Drosophila melanogaster: one gene and its partners. The protein of the gene in region 4 purifies or fractionates together with the protein of the main gene of each other region. This does not show direct contact. Each region holds a gene or a part of one and is shown on either strand. Other genes may lie near its edges.

Region 1 (4,791 bases), on a different chromosome or scaffold from region 4:
AGCTCTAACCTCCTGTCCCCCAACCATGACCACCTTCTGGGAACTTACACGCGCCATGGATATATATACATGTATATCTACGCCGCGGGGCGTATCAGTTTTATGAATGAAATTTTACGCTGACCTTGGAACAGCGCATTGTGGTTGCGTCAGTGGCCGGAAAAAATGGGGAAGTTTTCGCAGTGAAATTGGAGAGAGAACATTTTCCCCTTTGGAAAATTCGCACATTATGGTGCGCAAACTCACCGAAATGTGTCAACTTTTCTCCTCGCTGGCCGTTTTCATTCATGAAAAGTTCGGCCAACTTCATGAATGGTCTTTCCCTTTTTCGATTTCAAGGACACGACGCTCCTGCGGAATGGCGTCCTTATCGATTTTCCCTCTCGCATTTATGTACATTTTCACATTCGCTTATTGCGTGGGCGGAAAATATGTTTTTTCTTCTTGTTAAGCGTGATTTTTGAGCAGATTTATTGCTGTTTTGTTTGACTTCTGTTTAAAGTCGAGTATTTATGTGATTTTTTATTTAAATTGTAGCATTTAAGATTGAATTGGGTTTCCGTATGGAAAATTCAAGCTTTATAAGAGGGGAAGTACTTAAAAATGTTACTTAATAAGAGTGTGAAATTGATTTGTTTATACAAAAGCATGGCAGCAATAATCATATTATTAAAATAACCCCGAAAAGTAGGCCATAGTATTAGCTTCACCTGGCCAAACTTTTTGATCCACCGAAGTTTGTGAGTTTATAAAACTAATTCTAAACATTCAGACTTTCTAATCATATTGCATAGTTTATGAGAGGCATAAGGACATCCTTGGTCTGGTCTAGAAATAGCCTTGAATGTGTCCACATGTCATGTGGACCAGTTTTTTTTTATGAATGAAAAAAGCACCACACCCAGGAGCACCGGGGCAATGCTTCACCTTGCTCTTGACTGCCGCTTTGCCCCAAACATCATAGTACATATATCGATTGTTCGCTTTAACTTTGGACCTGCGCACTAGCAGATACAGATACTCGTACCAAGATACATAGATACTATAGATACGCGTACTTATGTAGATGTTTTGGCCCCAGCTGCTTATCACTGGCACATTGACGACAATGAGCTTTATATGATGCAGAGACCGAACTGTTGCTTCCCACTGACGTCATGGGAATGCTGATGATTAGGGTTTCTTGCACCGAATGTAACCAAAATCCAAAGGCTGCATAATCACCGAGAAAAGCGATGCGAAGTTTTGTTTATCATGTAATTTGTAGTTGTATAAATGAAGTTAATGATAAAATATCAGATATCTGTGACTCCACTGTGGGTAAAGTCCTGAAACCAGTCGAACTGCTCCAGCCAGCGTTGCATCACGCCGCCAAAGACGTACAGACGCACTGGAACGTAGTCGACCTCTTCGTTCACATCGTCGGAGGAATTGGATGACTCGCGTTCGTTATCCGAATCGTCATTCGACAGAAGGACATCCAACGCAATGAGGCAGTGCAGCAGATAGATAACACTGGACACCAATGAGGCTGTCGCCTGGTCCCGCAGGCTACCGAAGAACGGATGGAGCGGCTTCTCCGGATATAGTAAATCATCCGGGTTCCTTCCATCATACCATATATAGAAATCCGTCTCGGCATCGCCCAGTGCCATCAACGATATTACCGTATATAGAACAAATCCGATCAGAGGACGCACAACTTCCTCAACGATCGATGTGCGATGACCGGTGCAGAGATTTATGCTGGCAAAGAGCGTTACCACTGTGAATATGTAAAAGAAGGACATATAAAAGCTTTGGATTAGAACATCTTCCCATTTCATCGTTGTCAGATTGACGAAAACAAATGCTTTCAGTTGGTAGTACAAAACGAATAAGTTGGCCGTCGTCTCCACCATGTAGAAGAGAAAGAGCACCGGGCGCATTTGATACAAGTAGACCCTCATTTCTGCAGTCGCTTCGAACGCTTGACAAAACTAACTACAATAAGTCTGTGCGACAGGTGTACTATGTTTGAAGTGAAACGCTTTAATTCCAGCTCAAAAATTAAAAAAAAAAAAAAATAACAGAATATGTAGAGCCAGGAACTAAGCTCAAGTCAATTTGGTCAAAAAGATTTGGCTAAAACTACATAAGCGGCCCAAACGAATGGTCAAAACGAACTGACTAAGATGAAAGACCAAAACGAAATAACCAAAGCAAGACAAAAACGAAATGATATAACGAAATTAATGGCCAAAACCGAATGACCAATACGAAATGGACAAAATGCCATAACCTAAAGCAAATGGTCAAAAATGGTCAAATGATCAAACGGAAGGAGCAAAGCGAGGTAGTTTCGAAAGAGCTTCATTCTACTAATTTACAATTTAATTCAGATTCTTGAAAATATGTTCATTTATAAGAGTCAAAACAGTTAAAACAAATAAGAAATGTATAGGCCATAGGTCTGCTACAATTTGTTAATGGTTTACATTCTGCCCAAAGGGTTTCCACAAAATGCACTTTGTACCCGGAATGTACATATGTATGTACATACATATATGTAGTTCCCATTAGCGAACTCGAAAGACACGCTTTTGTTGTAGCCTCGGTTTCTTTCTCGGATGGAAAGTGCTGCTTTGGGCTCGGCTCATCTCGTCTGATCATAAAAAACCACTTCACTGCGGCGGTTGGTGCTTCTGTTGCTTCGTTTGCTTCTGTTGGCCGGACGGACTGCGTCTGGAAACAGTAGCAACATTTGCCTGCCAGTTTGATGCTGTTGACTGCTGTTGACGGCGATTACGTTGATGACGCGCAGACCGCAACGAATTTACGCGCAATTCTCCACCGTGCTCCAAACTTCAAGCTCCAAGCTTCAGATTCGGCTCCAGCTCCAGCTTCATCTGAAGTGGCTACGGGGTGGGGGTAAGCATTTAAATAAATGTTTGTACACACGAGCCGCTCATGAAACGCCAAAAAGTTAGTACACTTGTACAGGAACAATTGAATTTTGGATGTAATATTTAATTATGTACTTTGGTCAAATAGATTGGTGTAATCATAGGACCTAAGCTAACTTTTGATTTTTAACTTATGCAAGTTCAAATACTGGTTGCACTTTTATACATACTTTCCTTTCATATTAATCAATGGCTATAAATGCAATGCTACATTCGTTTTTTTATATATATATTTGAGTTCAATGACCTTTAGGAAATTGAGATAAGTTGGCAGTACCCTGCGAATGCTCCGACGATGCGAATCGATAAAAAGTAATAAGTAATAAGTAATCGATATCCTTAGCGCCGTGTATTCCCAAGTTTCCGCGCAATTGTGTTATTTATTTATTTTTTAGTTTAAATCGCGTGATTTTGTGTCGAATATTTTTCCGAGGGTGTAGCTTAATCCGTGTGTTGGGCAAAAAACTACAAGAACGGCCAGAAAAATCACAAAGCCCTGTCTGCTATTGTTGTTGTAGCCACTGTATTGCCTGTTGCAAGCACATGTGTGTGTGTGTGTTTGTGCAAAGTAAAAGGGTTAATTCATTTAACCATTTCGACTGCGTCATCTCTTTGTGGCTTCTTAACATAAAAAAGGCTGAATGCTGCTGCAATTTTGACAAGCGAACGCACCGCATTTTAGCGACTTTAAGTGCAACAACAAAAGAGGGCAGCTGCTCCTTACGTACATAAATACATATATGTATGTACATATGTATGTATGTACCTGTGTACACATTTTATCTTTATTTTTTTCCCGCTTGAGATTCCAGGGATCGCACAGTAGTCACTTGCGACTTTTTCAAGTTGAACTTAAGCACGCGAGCCCTGCCCAAAACAAAAAAAAAACTAGCAAATTTATTTATTTATCCGATTTTGTAAGATCAGCAGAAGGATCTTCTGTCTCGTTTTTGTCGCGGCCGCCATATTGAAGTTTGCGCGTGTGCGTGCGTCCGTGTGTGTCCAACTAGACTGCAAAGTCCAATTGGAAAATCTAATTGGTAATGTTTAGAAATCCAAATATTTGTATTTGCATCAAGGTAATTATATTTAATATTGATTTAATATGTATACACAGTAAACGTCGGGATGTTTTTAATTATTAACAAAAAATATATATATTTTGGAGTTTTACTTGACATTTGAAGATTTCTTGTCGGTGATTTGTGATTAATAATTATATGCTCTTAATTTTGAGGAATAAAAATAGATCGGGGATTCTAAACCCTCTTTTCTTCCGACTGATAATGACGAAGTGCACTTTAATTTTGATCATCATTGTGGGTCGCTTTTCGCCCCACAATTAAGTGTTCCCAACTGTTACGTAATCGTTGGCGCAGCACTGCAAATTGCTGGCGTTACGCCCATCCCAGGGGGCATGGCCGCTATGCGCTGCTCCACATGCCACATACAGTCGGCTAAATGCAAGTGCATAAATAACAATTACAGCTGCAACTGCAGCAACAGCAGCGCAAATAGCAATAATAGGCAGCTCGGCCGCTCAGGTGTCAATTGGGGGCCGCGCTGACCGCCGGCCATTTTGCAAAAGCGCATTCTGCTGATCGCCACATGCATATGTATGTAATATATATATATCGGCAAATATCGGCATATAATGCCCGTTGATTATTATGTTTACACTATATGCAAGATTGGTACGCTCGGCAAGATTGCCGGTCGCGGTAATGATCCCGAACCGTTCCGATCTCAATGCAAATCAACGGCAATTAATAATTCATCGCCCGCTGGGCCTCCTCCATCCACCATCCGAATCCGATGGCAATTATGCGCCAACAACGCCGGCGGG
Region 2 (6,810 bases), on a different chromosome or scaffold from region 4:
TAAAGCCGAAGAGAGCTATGCGGCCAAAATTTGTGCATAATTTAAGGCTGACGGAAGCGAAAAAAGCGAAGCGAAGCAAGATGCTAAGAGCAAAGCGAGAAGATCGCAAAGTGAGAGCTTAGCGAGAAACGAGCTACATTGCTTTTTTTTTTTAGTTATTCGTGTGAACGTGATGGATTCGGACGGGGAATTTCTTGCATCAAGCGCAACTATTAACTTTCTGTTAAAATAAAACTGGCGTCCACTCTAACTTAACTAAAGCGATAAAGCAGGTTTCAAACTGATCTCTCGCTTTATCGCATGAGCTCACAACTCGCTTCGCTCTCACTCTGACATCTTTCGCGCGATTGTACTTAAAAATTCATGCAGTGTTTTATCGCTCGTTCTCGCCCAATAATATCGCATCGCTTCTCGAACTTACTCTGCCGTCAGACCCTTAAAAGTTATCTTTATGAAAAAGCAAAGAGTAAGATTTTTACAGATCATCAGCCCCTAGCGTATTCTCTGCATAGCTGTAATGGAAATGCCAGAATTAATAGATGGAAAGCTTAGCTAGAGGAGTATCATTACACGCTATTCTAAAAACCAGGAAAAGAATATATTTTCGCAGACGTGCTCTCAAGAATACCATTACACCAGATTAACTCTGTTTCCTTTACGCAACATAGTGCTGAAAGTTCTAGCCATGATCTAGTATTGTAGTTCATGTTGAAACAGCAATATATGTTCTTTAAAATCTAAAATTCTTTTACAATCAGACAGATCCAACTTCAGGCTTACATTTCCACTTCCAACCTTCCATAAACATAAAATATACAGTCCGGAATATACTACATACAAAATAAGAGCAGACCTAAAGAAACATCTCAACCCATCCGTAATAAACTGCATCCACATGACTGAACAATATTATTGAAAACTACAGACAATCTACCGAAGACACACCGTTACCGTTCAAATAGAACGGTTCCATTTGATTCCATTCGACACTTTCCGAAATACTGAGATGCCTCAAAAGAGGAGGTTCAGATAGAAATTTACAAAAACTTTTAGAAAGAACAAGTTATAAGTACAATTACGGTTTCTATTCAGTTACAAAGGAGCGACCATTAGAAGTATTCAGAAAAGTGACCCAAACTCGGACCAAAACGAAACAGCCAGACAACACATTTTGAAGACTTATCAAACAGAAACCAGACCTCGGAAATCATAATAAAAAGAAAAGGGAAATACGTAATTATCAATAATAATAGTTCTTAAATTGGCTAGGTCCCAGGTGAAAATACATAGCGGCCACTCCAGATCACGATGACCTGGTCATAATAGAGCAGAGCTCATTGACAACAATAACCAACAAGTCATTGTTTACAAACAAGAAAGAATAAACAAACTGACTACAGTATCTAAAGCTCTAACAATTTCTATACAAAAGGGCAGTTCCGTTCGTTTAGAAATTGCTCTTAGTTTACAAACCCAGATTAGACTCCTAAAAGTAGAAACTGCCATCCAGTGGGCGCGACAAGAGGTCGTAACACACTAGTACTAAATGAAGATGAATTAATTGAAATAGAAAGAATATTTAAGGGAAACAACATGTTATTACTATCGATGAAAGAAGCTATGGCGTTTTCCGAGGTCTCTATTCTACATAATAAGACAACACATTTGTACATCGTAAAAGTCGCAAACTTTATAGAAATACTAAGATATCATTGTAAAACCAATAGTTAAAAACAACAGAACTACAACAACTTAGACTTTCAAGAAATCTTTGCTTTCGAAAATCTTACCTATATATACATATATAAATATGCGATGAGAAAAAAATTGTAAATATAAGAAATTAATTAATTAAATTAGTTGATTGCTCTCCAAATTTAGTTCTGGGAAAGAAAGATCTGTGTAGTTTTAGCAACTCCGACAACTTATCCAGAATGGAAGAGGTCGACGACGGAATCATCCTATTAAACGATTACGATGGAATCATATCCTGGATCCTCACAGAGCTTCACCTACTTTGTTTAGCTATCAAACGACTCGATGATTATCGACAACAGGGGGATTCGCCAACTTGGAACCTACAGCCCTGTCTCCTAGTTCGCCTCTTGTACAATTTACAGATGAAGAAAAAGAAAGACTGAGGTTATATCTCTTGAAACACTGAACCGTTGCATATACATAAAAGGCCAACAGCATAACCCTACTGACGCTCTTCGACAATACTCTGATTATCATCCTGGGCCTTCACACCTATAGTCAAAGGAAGAGAAGCATAAACTTGCAGCTTAGACCTATACCGGGAATGGAAACAAAAGTTAACATCAGCTACCTCAGTTCAATAACATTCCCTACATAAATTAGAAAGTTAAAGTTAATAACAATGAATTCAACATCGGTCTACAACAGAATGTAATAGAGTAACAAACCCCAAATATGCAAGCTCAGCGCCACCAAGCAGATTTCCCAAAATGTGTTTGGCAATTGTTTCCGCTCCCACCAGCGCTTGTGATTCCAAGAAGCCGACGTCGATCCTCTGCCAATAAGGACAGCACAGCCGACAGCTAAAGACTCGCAGCTTATAAAGACGATGTTCTCACTTAAGTTTATAGTCCAACTCTTTTAATGCTCGTTACTCATAGAGTAAAAGGGTATACTAGATTGGTTGAAACAGGCAGAAGAAAGCGCTTCCGACAATAAAATGTATATATATTCATGATCAGGATCAATGTATCGATTTGCAAAAAAAAATTTTGCCACGCCTACTCAAACGCCCCAAAGCCGACAAGCCGGTCACCCCCGCACTTTTGAAAAATTGTTAGATATTTTTCATAATTTTATTGGTCGTGTATATTTCTATTGATTTGCCAAAAAACTTTTTGCCACGCCCACTCAAACGCCCTAAAGCCACCAAACCGGTCACGCCCACACTTTTTTAACAATTTTTTATTTTTTTTTCATTTTATTTTTTTTCTAATATCAATCAATCAATCGATATCAATCGATTTTCCAGAAAAATTATGAACTTTCGCGTTAGCATTGACCCTAGCTTAGTTACTGGTATCTGATAATCAGGGAACTCGACTATAGCCTTCTCTCTTGTTTTATATTATTATACCCGTTACACGTAGAATCAACGAATCTAATTTTACTCTACACGTATGGGGCATAAAAACATATATATATTTTCTTATATGTATATATATTGTTTTTATATAATATTATATCTTAACAGTAATAGACAACTATAGACCGCCGATCACAATGGTAATAAGACATAAAACTGTACATTTGAATGTTGAATATTGTATCTCCTATATATGTATATGTATATGTACATAAAACCGAAAATAAGAATTGTGAGTTTTATAAAATGTGTGCTTTATAATAGGTTATGCATGTACTATAAATATATACTTGTGAATATACATGTGTGTAAGCTTGCAAAAATAGTAAATATTTTTCTATTAATAATCATGTCAATTAATTATCAATTCTTTAAATGTTAAAATGATTTTTGATATATTTTACTATTAGTGTTCAAATACAAAATTAAATAGGGGTGAATTGTTCGCTTTTTTTCCATTTTAAATGGTTAATTAGAGCATAATCTATATGGAAACTTTCACGAATAACATTGTAACAGGTAGGCTTAATATTTGGTAGTAGAAAACTGAATTGTTATTGATTGTGATTTCAAAACAGTGCTATAGTTTACTTAATACAATAATTACATTTAGTACAATGGAAACTCCTAATTAAAAATAAACTACCTTTTGAAAGAGAACAAATATATACAAATGCACTTTCTATACAATACACATTTGTATGTATAATGTTTAGATACATACCATGTAAATAATGTTGCCAAAGTGTACGACTTTTGGCAAAAGGTTTAGCAAATTTAGTTAGTCTGAAGTAAGCTATTCCGAAGGTAAGGAGCTCATATTTACTATTCAAGAACTTTTTACCTAAAAGTACTATTTATAGATACCAAAAAATTTTAATTTATTTATAGACTTTTATTAGTTCAGATAGTAATGGTATTTCTACTTTTAGCTATTTACATTTTATGAGGATAAGCTCCAAACAAATTCCGTCATAATGGCTTATTCCTGGGATAACCGTGTCGATTTTGTCGTTCGGTATATGTATGGTGAGTAGAAAAGGACTTAGGCTTATTAAACGTATCCTATAGTGAATTAAAATACCTTAAAAATTTACGTATATTTTATACAAAAAATTTAAGTTTATATTCCATTGCATTGAATACATAAAGCCATTTTTATACATATCTTCGGAACTATCCGAAATCCGATATTTTAACAATATATACATTTTATTTTAATTTTATTTAATATGGGACGACTATATCATATAGCTGCATTAAGAACTGCTTGAAAATTAAACACCCAAAATAGAATATAAATAAAAGTTTCGTTTTTTAACACTATGGGTGCTAAGTAGACATATATGTTTTTGTAATTACTGAAAGGGTATTTGGATAGGATTAATCAAATTTGCAAGCGCACAAATACAATAAAAATAACATTTACAATTGCTGCGGATCAGATTTATGTAACAATCTCAAGTCTGGCAATTTAAATGTTGCGCCATATTTATGATGTAGTTTTATAATCCGTTAAAATGAGGTCACATGGAACCGGTCAAGTGGTCATTGCAGCTTATATGAGGTTAAGCCAAAGACATTTGAAGAACAAGATGCGTAACGCCATACAATTTTTTGCACACAATTTTATCGGGATGGCTCCAGAGGTGGCTCAGCAGTTCTTTTCTACGCATACAGTGACAGCCGACAACTGTATGGTAATGCATTGTAAATTTGACAATTTACAAGTTCATAGACTTTACATCTGTATTATCTTTGTTTAATTGGCAACATGTAAAAAATTCTTGGCTTGCATGGCCTTAACCAAAGACCCTAGTGTCTAGTTTCTTTGCCTTAACTATATTATTATTTGAATATATATGTACATAATATCACAAAATAAATTTCAAAGATGACTATATTAGAACAAAGGTTATTAGGGCGTTCACTTGCCCCTTGTGAAAAATTAATAAGGCAATCATTGTTGCAATAAACGTGTTCGTGTCTCAAGATATGACTTTTGCAATAAAAAGTTTTCATATTTTTATTCATTTTATAAATATTTATTTTCTACTACTTATTATTTTTGTGAAATATCTTTTCCTCAATGTAATGACTTCTTTTTGGAAAAGTTATGTTTTAATTTAAAATTTTATTATTTTATTTTATTATCCGTTTGATTAAAGCTGACTATACGCCGAGCTTCTCTATTTTTTGAAAGTTTCGCTATATAACCTAGTTTATATATTTAATTAAAGTCGTTTTGTTGCAATATCGTACTTTAGGTGATATATTCAAGGTGTAAATTCGTAATTATTATTTTATTTTATCATATTGCTAAGAAATTGGGTATACTAGGGTATACTAGACTCGTTGAAAAGTATGTAACAGCCAGAAGGTAGCGTTTCCGACTATATAAAGTATATATATTCTTAATCAGGATCAGTAGCGGACATGTCCATCTGTCCGTATGAACGTCGAGATCTCAGGAACTATAAAAGCTAGAAGGTTGAAATTAACCATACAGGTTCTAGAGATAAAGACGCACACTCATTTTTTCATATTTTTATTAGGCTTTAAAATTTCTATGGATTGGCCACAAAACTCTTTGCCACGCCCACTCTGACGGCAGGTTACAGCTAGGTTATGTTGATCATTAACCGAAATTATATTAGGCTAAGTTAAGCCGAGCTTTAAATCTCTCTAAATGCCTATGGGACTCTTGTGGACTCCAAATGGCAACCTCAACTTCACTTGGTCGTAGGGAAAATATTTCAGAGTGTTCAGACAACACGGTTTTCGAGTGTTCGCTTGGATCTCCAATCGCTAAGCTATGAAATCACTGAAATCTATATTCATTGTTAATGGTTTACAATATTAATCTTTGTGCAAATTAAAAGTGTTCCTTTTTAATTATTTGAACAAAAAATTTTTATTTTATTATAATTTAATATTTTATTCATGATAGACCTTTTCACTTATACTATTACAAGACATTCTTTTTATCTCTTGTCTTAAATTTAAAACTGTTCACGATCTCGTCCCGATTCAGACTGATCTTCTAAATATTAATCCTAATCCACTCAACCTTGGCCAGAAGCTTTTCTTTAGGATTTTCTTGAACTGTAAAATATGTTTAGGGTAAAAGCTTTATACTGAAATTATTTCACAGCATTGTGAAATTCAAATTTGTTGACTAGTGTTTACTTTAAGTTTGGTTATTCATCGGGTGGCTAAGTGATGGCGACTAAACGAGGACAAAGGAAATGCTGATGAGATTGGAGTTTTAAATTTGTTTATCAACTGGGTCAGAGTGCTATATTTACGGGTTGGATAACTTGCACATTTGTGCTTTTAAGTCAACTCGCACGTCCACGACGGTTGCGAGTTTCTTACAACTGCTGCTTCTCAGCGCTTGACATTTAAACGATTGACATGTGAGAGATAGCGGGAGCACAATACTACTGTTATAAGCTGGCGGTACAATATATACATTTACATATAAATGCAGTGGTTCATACAGATGCTGGGTTTCTTTGGTTTTTGGAGCATTATCTACGGCGTAGGTAAATCTGGGCGCAGGGTCGAAATAATATTTTCGAACTTACGGCACGGCGGCAACATTTTATTTGTCGACTTAACACATATTAATATTTCTCCTATTTGTTTTCCATAAAAAAGATAATCTTTTAAATATTTATCTA
Region 3 (5,373 bases), on a different chromosome or scaffold from region 4:
CTGTATTTATTAGCCAACGCTGGGTTTTGACCCTAAAGGGTGCCTATCTTATCCCATCTGGTGGTGGCTCTGGTTTCCTTTCGGCCATCTCTTTTTATTTTCTGAAATTAATGCGGCAAACACTAATTAATTGCGCAGGTGTTGCAGCTGTTCCGTAGCTCTCTTGTTGTTGCTTCCGGTGTTGTTATTGCATGGGATAAGCCTAATTGAATTTCTGTAGCTTTTTGCTAGGCTTGCGGAATTGGGAGCTGGAGGTCCTATCTCGCCATTGGTTATAATTAATTACACAGCTGCCATTATAGGATACCGCTTGCATTTATTATCTTTAAATTATTGATTTTCATCAGATATGTAGAGAAACAACTGCCACAATTACCGATTTCCAGTTATTAACTGAATTGGTATTATTAACTTTTAGTGAGAGCTGAATATATTTTATTATAAACCTTGCTTTCCTTTTCTAATCTGTTGGTCTAAATAAAACTTCTGGTTCTAGTCCAAATGATTTATGAAAATTGCAACTTTAGTAAGCGCTGACCGTAATCAAATTCACGCTTTGCACTTATTTAATTGTTCTCCTTTTTAATTTCCCATAGCTAATAAATTGACTTTTATGACCGGTCATGAGAAGCTCGTAAAATTTGCATATGACTTCTAGCCGAGCTTTTGCCTTTAAGTTGGGGTTCTTCAACGGTTGACGGCATTATTATTATGTCAACGTAATGTTGTCGTCAAATAGTTTTTCGCGTGACATTTGCATTTCAGTTCAACTGAGCTGAGCTGAGTTGAGTTGAGTTGAGCCCTCGGGTCCGATGACATTTCATTAGCCGTTACCAGTTCTTCGGGCACACATATTTAATAACGTGTGCCATTGTTTTTCATTGTCGTTTTATGTGCTGTTTATATTTTTATGGCATGCCATATAGTATTTAATATTTATATTATATATGAGTCGCATGCGACATTCATTCCCGTTCTATCATGTCTACGATAAAACAGTTTTATTCCTTTCCACTACAGGAAACTTTTGGGGACAGCGAACTTCTTCACCAGGTGGAAAAGCTGGAAAAGTTGAATAGGCTACCTCCACCTCCTTGAACTGAAATCAAACTACTTGAGGAGTCAGCCACCGCTTCGTGTTTGCAGTTATTATTGTCTATAAATCGTTGGAAGGTCTCCGATAGGAGCTGTGGGGCATTATACACGATGACATTATGAATTTATTACTATTTAAATATTTTACTTTTGTTATGGCCCTGGCAGGCGACGATGGGCCGCAATAATCGTTCTGACATTTGTTTTCCCTGGCGTGCGTAACTATTTACCAGTTCGCTCCGGTAACTTCGTCTCCGAAAGTCCAGGGGGTGACCCAGGCACCGGTATATAGTTTGAGTAGGTCATGAATTATCGATGCTGTCAGCAGTAAATATTGATAAAATATATGAGGCAAAGTTCTGGCACGTAGGCATCAACTTTGGTAGCTGCCTCTATTACCATAATTAAATAATTCGGGCAGTTAGCCGACTTAAACGGTTCCGCTTAAAACTCATGCATAAATATATACATATATATACATACATCAGCAAATTACCCGAATGTCACTTTAATTGTTAATCAGCTAGACACATCTGTGCCACAAATTAATCTGCAAACCAGTTTAGTTTGATCGCACGGACTTGAGATTTTGAGAGTCATCTGAATATTTGGACTTTGATAACCGCACTTGACTTCAGACTTTGGAAAAAACCAACAAAACAATAAAAATAGGTAGGAGAACAACTGACAAAGTTAAAACAGGTTTGACGAATCAGACGTTCGTCATTAATTTTATCATGTAATATCAGACTTATTTCAAAAAAAGGGTCTATTAACAAAATTATTTAATTATTAATAATGGCATTAGAATCACCAAGAAATAATTTGTTGCGGTAATGAGGTAGCCTTATTAATATGAGACAAATTTTATAATGGTGGTATTAATAGATATATTTTGGTTATAAGGGTTATATATAGGGAATGAAGAAATATATTTAAGCGCAGACCTTATATAAGGCTTACAAATAATTCGAGCATCTCATGGCCTCCGTTAACTTATATTAAATTTTAAGTGTTACTAAAAATTTTTGTAAGTAATATAAAATGTTGCTTTTATATTCTATTCTCTAAAACTCCCCTATCATGCTTTGCATGCACTTTGTTTTAACACCTCCATAAAAATCAACGTTAGATTGTATTTCAAGTTTAAGGTTTTGGAGTTACGTGTATTGTTAAATCAAATTAGTTGACGTTGACGCTTCGCTGGGCACTCTGACCCTTGGGAAGTACAACACACTTTTAATCGGTGGAAAATCTGAAACTACAATTAGCACTTACATTATGGCTTTGAAGCGATTTTAGCCTAATAATAAGCCCGAGTCTGGGGCATTAGGGCCAATTATAGGTACAATGGAAAGCCGCAGTGAACTTGCTTCATTTACTGATTCGAGTATCTGTTGAACTTTAAACCGAAATGGTAAAAAAAAGTGAGTCAGTTTCGGGTTATCAACAAGATCGGAGAGGGTTTAAGTAAACTAACCGGTGTATTGCCGTGTGTATGTGTAATAATTGCTTATACAGTGTGATCAGCGGAGTAGAGCGAAAACAAAAAGCGATAATCAAAACAAAACTCTGACGAAGCTGCATGCAAAATCGTATAAAAGGCAGATGCTAACAGAATAAATTCAACAGTTTCGATACCAAAGGGTTTCCAACAACATCTCTACCGAAAATGAAGTTCCTGATTGTCCTCTCCGTCATTTTGGCCATTTCGGCTGCTGTGAGTTACAAATAGTTTCTGATTTAAAGGGGTAGTATTGCTAAGTGTATCTTTTGAATATATCTTATAGGAGCTGCAACTATCCGATGAGCAGAAGGCTGTGGCCCATGCCAATGGCGCCCTTTGTGCCCAGCAGGAGGGAATCACCAAGGATCAGGCGATCGCCTTGCGAAACGGCAATTTCGATGACAGTGACCCCAAGGTGAAATGCTTCGCCAATTGTTTCTTGGAGAAAATCGGATTCCTGATCAATGGTGAGGTCCAGCCCGATGTCGTTCTGGCCAAGTTGGGACCCCTGGCCGGCGAGGATGCCGTGAAGGCCGTTCAGGCCAAGTGTGATGCCACCAAGGGAGCGGATAAGTGCGATACTGCCTATCAGCTATTCGAGTGCTACTACAAGAATCGCGCCCACATCTAAGCGCCAAATCTCCGATATTCTCCTGTGTGATAATCTGTCTGTGACTTGTTACTTATATTGTTTTAATTCAGTATATCAATTCGTAAACAAAATTTTTAGATCTGTAAATGTTTTGAATAATAAACTCAAGAATATATTTCGTTTTTAAAAAAAAACTTGACAAGAAACCTTTGCGAGACTATGTTCCAAATAGAAGATCATGCTTAAAGCTTTTACATAACTCTCCTAGAATCTCACTTGGCATTTGTTAATATTTTAAATATTAATGTTAAACGTTTGATCAAATAACTTTTTAGCTGTCCAACAAAAACTTAAAGGAACCTTCCAGGAAAATAACTTACGTAAACCCCTAACAGAGAACGCCTTTTATTGTGTCTCAAAGGAAATTAAGGTGAAATTCTTATACATAATTACTTATGCATATTCGACTTGTCAATGGATGCTCCACTGTATGACCCATTTGCGTTTTGGCCGCGTACCCATTTGCATAACAGTGGGCCGTCATTAAGGACCAACCACTGTCAGACCGTCGTCAGGGGCTTAAGTCCCTGGTACAGAGCGGCGATCCCAGAGGCATTTGGCCGCTCATGTTTGGCATAAATATTGATGAGCGACGGCAAACTTATTGGCACAAAGACCTGGGATCCCGGCGATACAGGATGCGTTGGGGTTCGAGCAAATGAATTGGACACGGGGAGCCGTGTTTTTAAAAGCCCAAATCCAATTAACAAATCATTAAACATTCATTGAGCACGTGTCGCAATTGCATTTACTGGTTCAACATGGATCAGGTGGCATCGGAGGGAACAATTGTTCCGACTTTGGCTTTGACTTTGGCTTTTGGGGAGTTTGGATCGCAGCCAGGGTCCATAATTCATTTTGTCACTTCCTGGGGTCGGTCTGGCTGTAATGTCACTTCCATTTAGCATCCGTTTCAGTTGCAGTTGTCTGCACAAGAGCTGATGGCCGATGGCCGATGGCCTTCCCGGCCAACCGAACAAACAATCACTGATGCGTTTACTAATGTCTATTAAAAAGGCAGCCCAATCGAAGGATTCCACCCCCCCGAGCTAATGCATTTAAGTAGACAGCCATGGCGGCTTGTCAAAGGAGCCAACACGCGTGAGATGGTAGCACATTGATGCTCGACATCAGCCTTTGTCTTGGCCGTCTTGTTTGACTTGTCTTGCTCCCGTTAGTTGGCTTTCAATGGCCAAGGACCAAGGATATCGCTGGAGTTGGGGTTGAGTGCTGATGCTTTGAAGGGGGAGGCTTTCCCTGCGGTTCTCACATTAATGTAATTTAATTTTATAAAAACTTCGCTGCAGGGTGGCTGCCACTTGCTTGTTTCATGCTCCGATGTCTCTCGCTTTTTGTCCGTCCATGTGAAGTTTCTTTGATCTTAAAGACCAATATGTGATGTGGCTGGGGATGCTGCGGTTGTGTTTCCGATTATCAGCAGAAGTCTGTTATTAAGTCCGTCAATTAGAGTGGTCCAAAGAAAGAAGGAGTTCAAGTAAACCAGTTGCTGTGGCTTGAACTAATGTGATTGAATTTGTTTGCAATACAACTAGACTAGTAAGGAATATAATAATTTTATCTTAGAAGGAAAACGTGTTCTATGTACTATCATTTTTCCGCATACAGCTTGTAACCACTTCCATAATCTAATTAAAACTTCTGGTTGTATTTTTTTATGTTTCCACAACTACAACAAGAAAAACCCACATTGCTTGCAAAAACAAATTAGTCAAAAATTACAATGATTATTTTAATTGAAATTGCCAACAATGGTTGTACCGTTTTTAAAACACCTTTATAGAGCAGTACTTAAATGTTTTGTAGATTCATCTACCAAATTGAACCTGAAACTTTTTGCAAACCTTTTTGTATTTGTGCAATTATAGAGACCATTAAATAAGTCAGATGAGTGTTTTTGGCGAATGCTAATTTGAGTTCTCACCCAAAAATGCTATTGGCAATCCACTGATGCATGACACATTATATGCGATGTATCTGAATATGATTACCTGATGGGCCTAGCAAGTGAGGCATGAACATGATTTGGCAATCGATTTGAGCGACAATTAAATAGCAATTTAAACCGATTTCCATAAAGACGACTCTATAAAAGGCTTTT
Region 4 (6,669 bases):
TTTCCATAATACGCGATGGGTCGGAGCGGGACAGCAACAAAAACAATAAACACATTTTCTATATGATTCAATCAAAGACATATTTGGGTTGGAGCGTTGGTGCGAGCGAGAGGGAGTGATGCAGGGAGGCGGTGGGAGCGGAATGGCAACAGCAACAAAGAGCCTCTCTGTTCAAGAATGTGGATGAAAATTTCAAAATTTCTATAAATAAATTTCCGCTCAGAAAGAAAATATGGTATGGGGTGGTGGGCACAACATATGGAAGAAAGTTTCGCTGTGCGAAAGCTTTCCAAAGCTTTTTCGATAGAGTGGGACGGCTGCTTGATCTTCCGACCTTCTGTCCTTGTCTACGAACGGAAGTGCGCAAACTCGGGCGCACCTATCTTAAAGGTGGAAATCTTAAAGAACGGTAAAGAAACTCAACTTTGAACTTGATTTAATCTTAGGATATGAGTTGATTTTGATTTATCCGAATGCATATTAATCTAAATGACTCGTTATCTTTTGATAGCCTTGAATTGTTGCGATTTCAAAATTCCTAGGAATTTATTTTTGGAAATCGCTCGCATCGATTTGGAAATATGAGAGGCGGCCAGCAACCGAAAGTTTCTCGAATTTTTTTCTCATTCGTTTGGCCTTTCGGCCGCGATTTGTGCCAATAGAACTTGCAAGCCATGCAGGTTTATGTTTTCTGATTTTTTTCGCTTTGCATTTCGCATGTCATGGCATTTTGATGAATGGTTTATGATCTGCTTCGATTTTCTCTGTTTTTTTTTTTTTTTTTGGGTCAACGGGGCAGCGCAAGGTTAGGCATTGTATTGTTTAGTTACTGCACGAGATCTCGAGACATTGAAATGTCCGCAAGAGCCAGCTGACGCCACTTGATCATCATCATTGGGGGCAAATAAATATGTTCTGCGGATGCATGACAGCTCGGGATGGAGATGTTTATGTTTTGGATATGGTATGGTTTCTGGGTCAATGGAATGGAAATGGGGACGTCGGTGGCGATGGCCAGAGCCTGTTGCAATGCCTACCTGGCCTTGTTTTTCGTTAGGATTTCAACCTGTTCCTGGAAATCCGTGATAATTTCGTTGTGCTTTTTCTTCAAAAGCAAAGTGGTCTCCTCCGACTCAAGATGAACATCCTCAAGCAGCTTGCGCAGCTTCAGCAGCTCAGCGTCGCGCTTGCGGTTGGCTTCAAACTGGGATTGGAAGATACATCAGTTATGGCTGGATTGCAATATTGGTTTACCACATGGTACTCACTTGATGTTCAGCACCACCCTCGGCCTCCTCGAGACGCTCGGACATCTGAATGACCTGAACGCTGAGATCGGCTTTCTCGCGCTCGATCTGAAATTTGAAGAATATAAGCAGAGATTAAGAAGAGATTTCATTAGCGACTTGGTATAATGTGAAGGATCTATAAATACCCTGCGCTAGCCATGCTCTGTGGCTACTCAAACAGCCCATAATAAAAATTATAAATCACATTAATCAGTCAAAAATAATTATGCACATGCAACACCTAAAATAACAATGGCATCTTGCCAAGAAATCTTCCACGCAGAGGTGTAGCCATAGTCCGATTGCATCCACGATATATGCGTCTATATATGCGTATATATCTTTTGTGGGCGGCCGCACACCGCTTTCCTAGATTGCATTTCCAAAAAGGCATTCGAACATTTTTCGCTTGAACAGAAACATTTTTTGTTGGCTCCCTCGGAATCTAAACATTTGCTTTTCGCCTTTGTCGACGACCTCGTTTGGTCAATTTTGCGAATTGCAATTAAATGCTATTTTATGAAAGCTATGTGCGGCCATTGGGATTTCTGGTATTTGGAGCTGTCCGAAGCAATCATAAAAAATTCAGCTAACTGAAATGCCCCAAGCTTAAATAAAGAACGTATTGGTCTGATAAATCTCTTTTAAATCTCTCGCTGAATATGTTTGTACATTTATGTTTATGATAATACCTAGGCGAACATGTGTTTGTCCGTTCATTTGGCATAACAAAAAGTTGCCGATTGCCACAAAGGCCACGTAAGTACGGGCCGTAAATCCATTTGCGCCATATGTATCTTGTAGATACATGTTTTTGCCGCCTATATATGCATATGTGGATATGTAGAAAGAATGCCAGGCGGTGTGAAGACTTTTAATGTGCATGAAAATTATTTAATTTTCCCACAGACACACGCCCACAGACAAAAAGCGAAGATTTTCCCGTAGTGAGCGAGCGAATTTTCCTCTCTGCCGCCGCTGATCATGAAGATGGTGATGATGATGACTTTTTGGCTACTTTATTTTCTTTTCTTCTCTGCTCATATTTTGGTTGTTTTCAAGTTAATCATTCGCTTCTCTGTATTGAATGTCGTGCGCTAATTTTAGCCATTTTGTTCCATATATTGTGAGTGTGTGTTGGGGGGCGTTGTATCTGTGTGCGAGTGCGTGCTAATCCATAAGGCACAAAGTAATTAAATTTGATTTTTTAACAAAATTTTCAGAACATTCCTGGCCAGCCCATTCCATTCCGGCAAGAGCTCTTCGCATTTTCTAAATTTGTAACGCCCAAGAGGATTGCGCTGAATGAAGTGCACTTTCGGCCTGCGAATTTTCCCACTTTTCTCTGGCTGTTCCTGACTTTGCTGTCTTTGCGGCCGCTGTCTTTGCAAAGTCAGGGGAAAAATCATTTATCAATGCTCCGCAGGGAAGGAAAAGCCAAAAACGAAAGCGATTGAAGTTCAATGCACATCATTATCATTTACTTTCACACTTTCGAAACTCTACGAAGGGTAGTTTATTCTTAGATTTGCATTTGTTTGCTGACTTTTCTATCGGTTCTATCGCTACTGCTACTTTGGTCTATTTTGATTTTATTTTGGCTTTCCACATATTTTTGCTGTTTTTAGGGTGACATTTGCGAGGTGAAAAAAGTAAAAATGGTTTTCCCTGGCGCTTTGATTTCCATTGGGTCTCGGAGAATGCGGTCTGATCTTTTCTAACTTCCTCGGATATGTCATATCTCTGACGCCGATTTCATCAGCAAATAATCTTATTGACTAAAAACGATGCTCTCAATAAATTAAGAATGTTCAAAAATATTCCAAAGAAACCTATAGTAATACCTTAAAAATACTCGGTTCAAAAATAACTTAAAAATATTTAAAATTATGAATATTTCCATATTGAATGACTCACCCTTTGGCGCAACTCACGTTCAACTTCAAGATCATCTTGGAGCAAACGGATCTTGTCCTGCAAGAAAATGGTGGATACATTTATTGAGTTTGATCTTTTATGGGCTCGTTATTTCATATTATTTGATTAAAACATTCATTAAAAAGCACTTTACAGCACAGTTGATTGATTTCTTCACAAATTTTTCTTCGATGTTTTCTCGTGTATATGTATTGCCCAGAGGTGGCCATTACATAATTTTTTAGCAATGCATATGTATATACAGACACGTTTAGATACATATACAAATCTAGAATTTTGCTTCACCGAATTTTCTATATTTCCACACACAAGAACGCGCCGAGAACTTAACACACGAATATATATCTACGGTATATATGTGCATTTGATATAGAGTGTAGATGAATTTTTCGGGTTTCTTAGTTTGTTTTTCGTATTTTTTCTTGATTATATTCCGATTCTTTTTCAGTCTCTACACAGACACCGAAACAAGAGAGAGAAATTCTCGTAGATTTTGAAGAAAATTTGGCGCACACGCATTTCGTATTCCTATTCCCTGGTCGGAATTCCAACGTCTTTTTGGGGATTTGGTGCCCAATACGATGCCGATTTCTTAAACGATACCGGTCCGCTTCCAATTACGAATTCGAATTCGAGATTCCGAGACGGAGCGGGACGGGATCCTTACCTCCAAGCGGGAGAGCGAGCTCAGGTCCTGGATGTACTCGATGTTCACATCGGCGGTACCGGGTCCGGTGGACGTGGCACGGTAGGAGTATTTCGAGGAGCGGACAGCCTGCGATGACGACATGTTTGCTAGGTCAGATTTTCGATTTTGGTTCTATAAATTAATGTGCGATCGGTTCGCGTATCTAGTATTATGATTTGTGTGTTCCTCTCAAGCGAAAATCTATACAGCACCGCACGCAGTTTTGTAGTTGTCACCGAGTCACCGAGAAAATTCGTAATAAACGTCGGAGTAAGGCTGGTGATCTACTGAACAAGAGATCCCGTTGTCGTTCGAATAAAGAGTATTTCGTTGAATTGGTTTGGCCTGCCAGCTGAATTCGTCTATTTCAACGATTTATTCGGTTCCCTTCGGGAGCCTTCGGTCGCCGTCGGGCGCCATCGGCTCCCCGCCGATCGGATCCGAGTGGGATATACCCTGAGATATATCTATAAGCCACCACCACCACCTATGTGAATGTGAGTGGGACTTTCGAGTGACTTTTCACGCGGCCGTGTTGTTGTGTTAATTGCTCAGTTGTGTGGAAAATTCTTTGATTTTTCATTTCACTTGGGCCGAAGCTTGTGTGAACGCATTTTCACGCTAGTTTGCCTGAGAGCTTGCCCCCTACGAAAATAAACTCAAAAACACGAAGTACGCCTGCTTTTCTTGTCTTTTCTTTTCTATTGCTTACCTGTAATTAGCCTGTGTCATTTGTGCGTTTCATTTTGTGTATCTAGCGTCTGGCCAGAATGTATCTACACATAAATTTTCCCAATTCTCGAACGTACATACATATAAGTCATGTTGAAATATTTGGCATCCTCTGCAGATCATAAAGTTCATAATTTATATTTATTGGCACATTTTCTTGGTTCAGGGGCCTCGGATATTATTTAAAAGGTAGTGCCAAACCAGTATTCCAGCACGTAGTCCCTAGACTATAAAGATTGAGATATAATTCTGGGAGCAAACTTAAATAGAATGATTTGACTTTTGGAAACGGTTTCTAGAACATTAGAACATCTAGAATATTGAATACATTTAAGCGTTAGAGACTATATATGTAAATATTTGAATCGATTGATTTCAAATTGATTTAGCATATATTATTATCAAAAAGAAAAGAGGCTAGAGCATGAAACCCCAGCCAAATATAGAGCCCAAATATATATGCTATACAGATCTCAGGGGTATTACAACATTTTTACACAAGCAGAAAAATCATAAAAGTGTCAAAATTTTCTATGATATGCCTTCTAAATTATTCGCTAACAGCCAATTAGGATTACAGCAATGTTTTCTAAAAATACTTGACTTTTGGCATCGAAACGTGTTATTCGCCAGCATAAATAAATAGACGTAGAGAGTGTGTGAAAAAAAATTGTGCGAAATAAACAAAAATATACAATTTTGAGTGAATCCTTGGCCGTGCGGACAGCAGTCTGCTCAGCCTCAGACAATGCGATGTCATCTAACAATTGTTGTTCAATGGTCACGTAGATGACTGTCTCTGCATTATATCTTTTTGGCAACTGACGGGTCTCTCCATGTGCCCCCATAGTAAATACATATTGTGTAAATAATTTCTGTTACATTGCGAACACGCTTCGTTCGGCGATTTTTGGCTCACTTTTCCAAAGGAACCGAAGCTTTTCGAGTGAAAATTCTCGTTCGTCTTCGAGCGATCTCCTCCACCTGTGCTCCACACACAAACACACATTTGCCTAACTATACTTAAAAATGAATTTTCGCTTATTTTTAGCAACCGAATTTCGTGTTATTTGTGCCTTTTTTCTCGGCTTGCTCATAATCGTGTTCATTTTCCACACACATTTCACCTGAGGCCAACTGACGCACACATCTAGAGCTCTAGATGGGCTAACCATCCTTATATATTAGAGCAGTTTCTTGCTCCGTTCGCATTCGTATCTTTTAGATACTTGGCTCTTTGCTGGCCATAACTTTATTTATTTTATGCATGCATATATACAATGTTGCCGCTACCCATCTGTATATATAAGTGCGCGCCAGGCAGCCGTAGAATAATATTTAACATTTTGTGTGTTTGCCACATTTTGGAATGTGTAATAATTTAAAAATAACCTGGCGAATATGTAGCAAGCCATTCGCCGATAAATAAGTCAGCCAAAAATAACACAAAGCCAGACAAGAACGACACCTTTAGTCAAAGAATCCCATTCTCATCAAGATTTGAGTTCTATGCGTAGTTGATGCCCGCTTGCCAGGTGTCTGTGTGTCTGTTTTCCGGCCCATTGCCCATCATTTTACAGCTGCACTGAGGTCAGTGATGGGGACAGGATCTCCTGGCTCCCCAATCCCCAAATCCACACACCCCAATCCCAACCCCATTCCCCAACTACCTACCTACCTCCACCTTAAGACAGAAATCACTCAGCGGCCATTGGGTGTCTTCTAATTCTTTCATGTTTCGTGTGCCAGCTATACAAAATTAGGTCAAAATTGTTATGATCACAGATACTCACATGCACACACATCGCGGTGCCCGCTGCTATGCAGCTATATATAGATCGACTTCAGCTTTATAGAGTGTGTGCCTACTTGACGCGCAGCCACTTTCTGCAAGATACTCCTCTTTTTGCCCAGGAGTGGAGCTGAGTGGAGCAGTGGAGTGGAGTGGCTGCTAGATAAGCTCAAGTGGGCGCCATCCGAGGTTCCAACGAGGTGGGTGGCGCTGAAAACCACCAGTAAATA

The links.
Region 1: the proteins of Prm (region 4) and CG14315 purify together in Drosophila melanogaster (affinity purification with mass spectrometry, with the first as the bait; one large-scale study listed by BioGRID). This does not show direct contact.
Region 2: the proteins of Prm (region 4) and Scp1 purify together in Drosophila melanogaster (affinity purification with mass spectrometry, with the first as the bait; one large-scale study listed by BioGRID). This does not show direct contact.
Region 3: the proteins of Prm (region 4) and Obp56d purify together in Drosophila melanogaster (affinity purification with mass spectrometry, with the first as the bait; one large-scale study listed by BioGRID). This does not show direct contact.

The regions. Positions count from the first base shown.
Region 1 is NT_033777.3:18,155,928-18,160,718, reverse strand, and holds CG14315 (uncharacterized protein), read right to left. Parts: upstream 2,019-4,791; 5' UTR 1,950-2,018; coding exon 1,296-1,949; 3' UTR 1,248-1,295; downstream 1-1,247.
Region 2 is NT_033778.4:2,964,438-2,971,247, reverse strand, and holds the start of Scp1 (sarcoplasmic calcium-binding protein 1), read left to right. Parts: upstream 1-3,195; 5' UTR 3,196-3,264; intron 3,265-3,903; exon of another isoform or gene 3,904-3,931; intron 3,932-4,056; 5' UTR 4,057-4,101; coding exon 4,102-4,153; intron 4,154-6,810.
Region 3 is NT_033778.4:19,701,145-19,706,517, reverse strand, and holds Obp56d (Odorant-binding protein 56d), read left to right. Parts: upstream 1-2,602; 5' UTR 2,603-2,767; coding exon 2,768-2,815; intron 2,816-2,885; coding exon 2,886-3,233; 3' UTR 3,234-3,594; downstream 3,595-5,373.
Region 4 is NT_037436.4:8,741,069-8,747,737, forward strand, and holds the start of Prm (paramyosin), read right to left. Parts: upstream 4,243-6,669; 5' UTR 4,018-4,242; coding exon 3,895-4,017; intron 3,264-3,894; coding exon 3,207-3,263; intron 1,356-3,206; coding exon 1,269-1,355; intron 1,205-1,268; coding exon 1,038-1,204; intron 1-1,037. UniProt on the Drosophila melanogaster protein: Paramyosin is a major structural component of many thick filaments isolated from invertebrate muscles.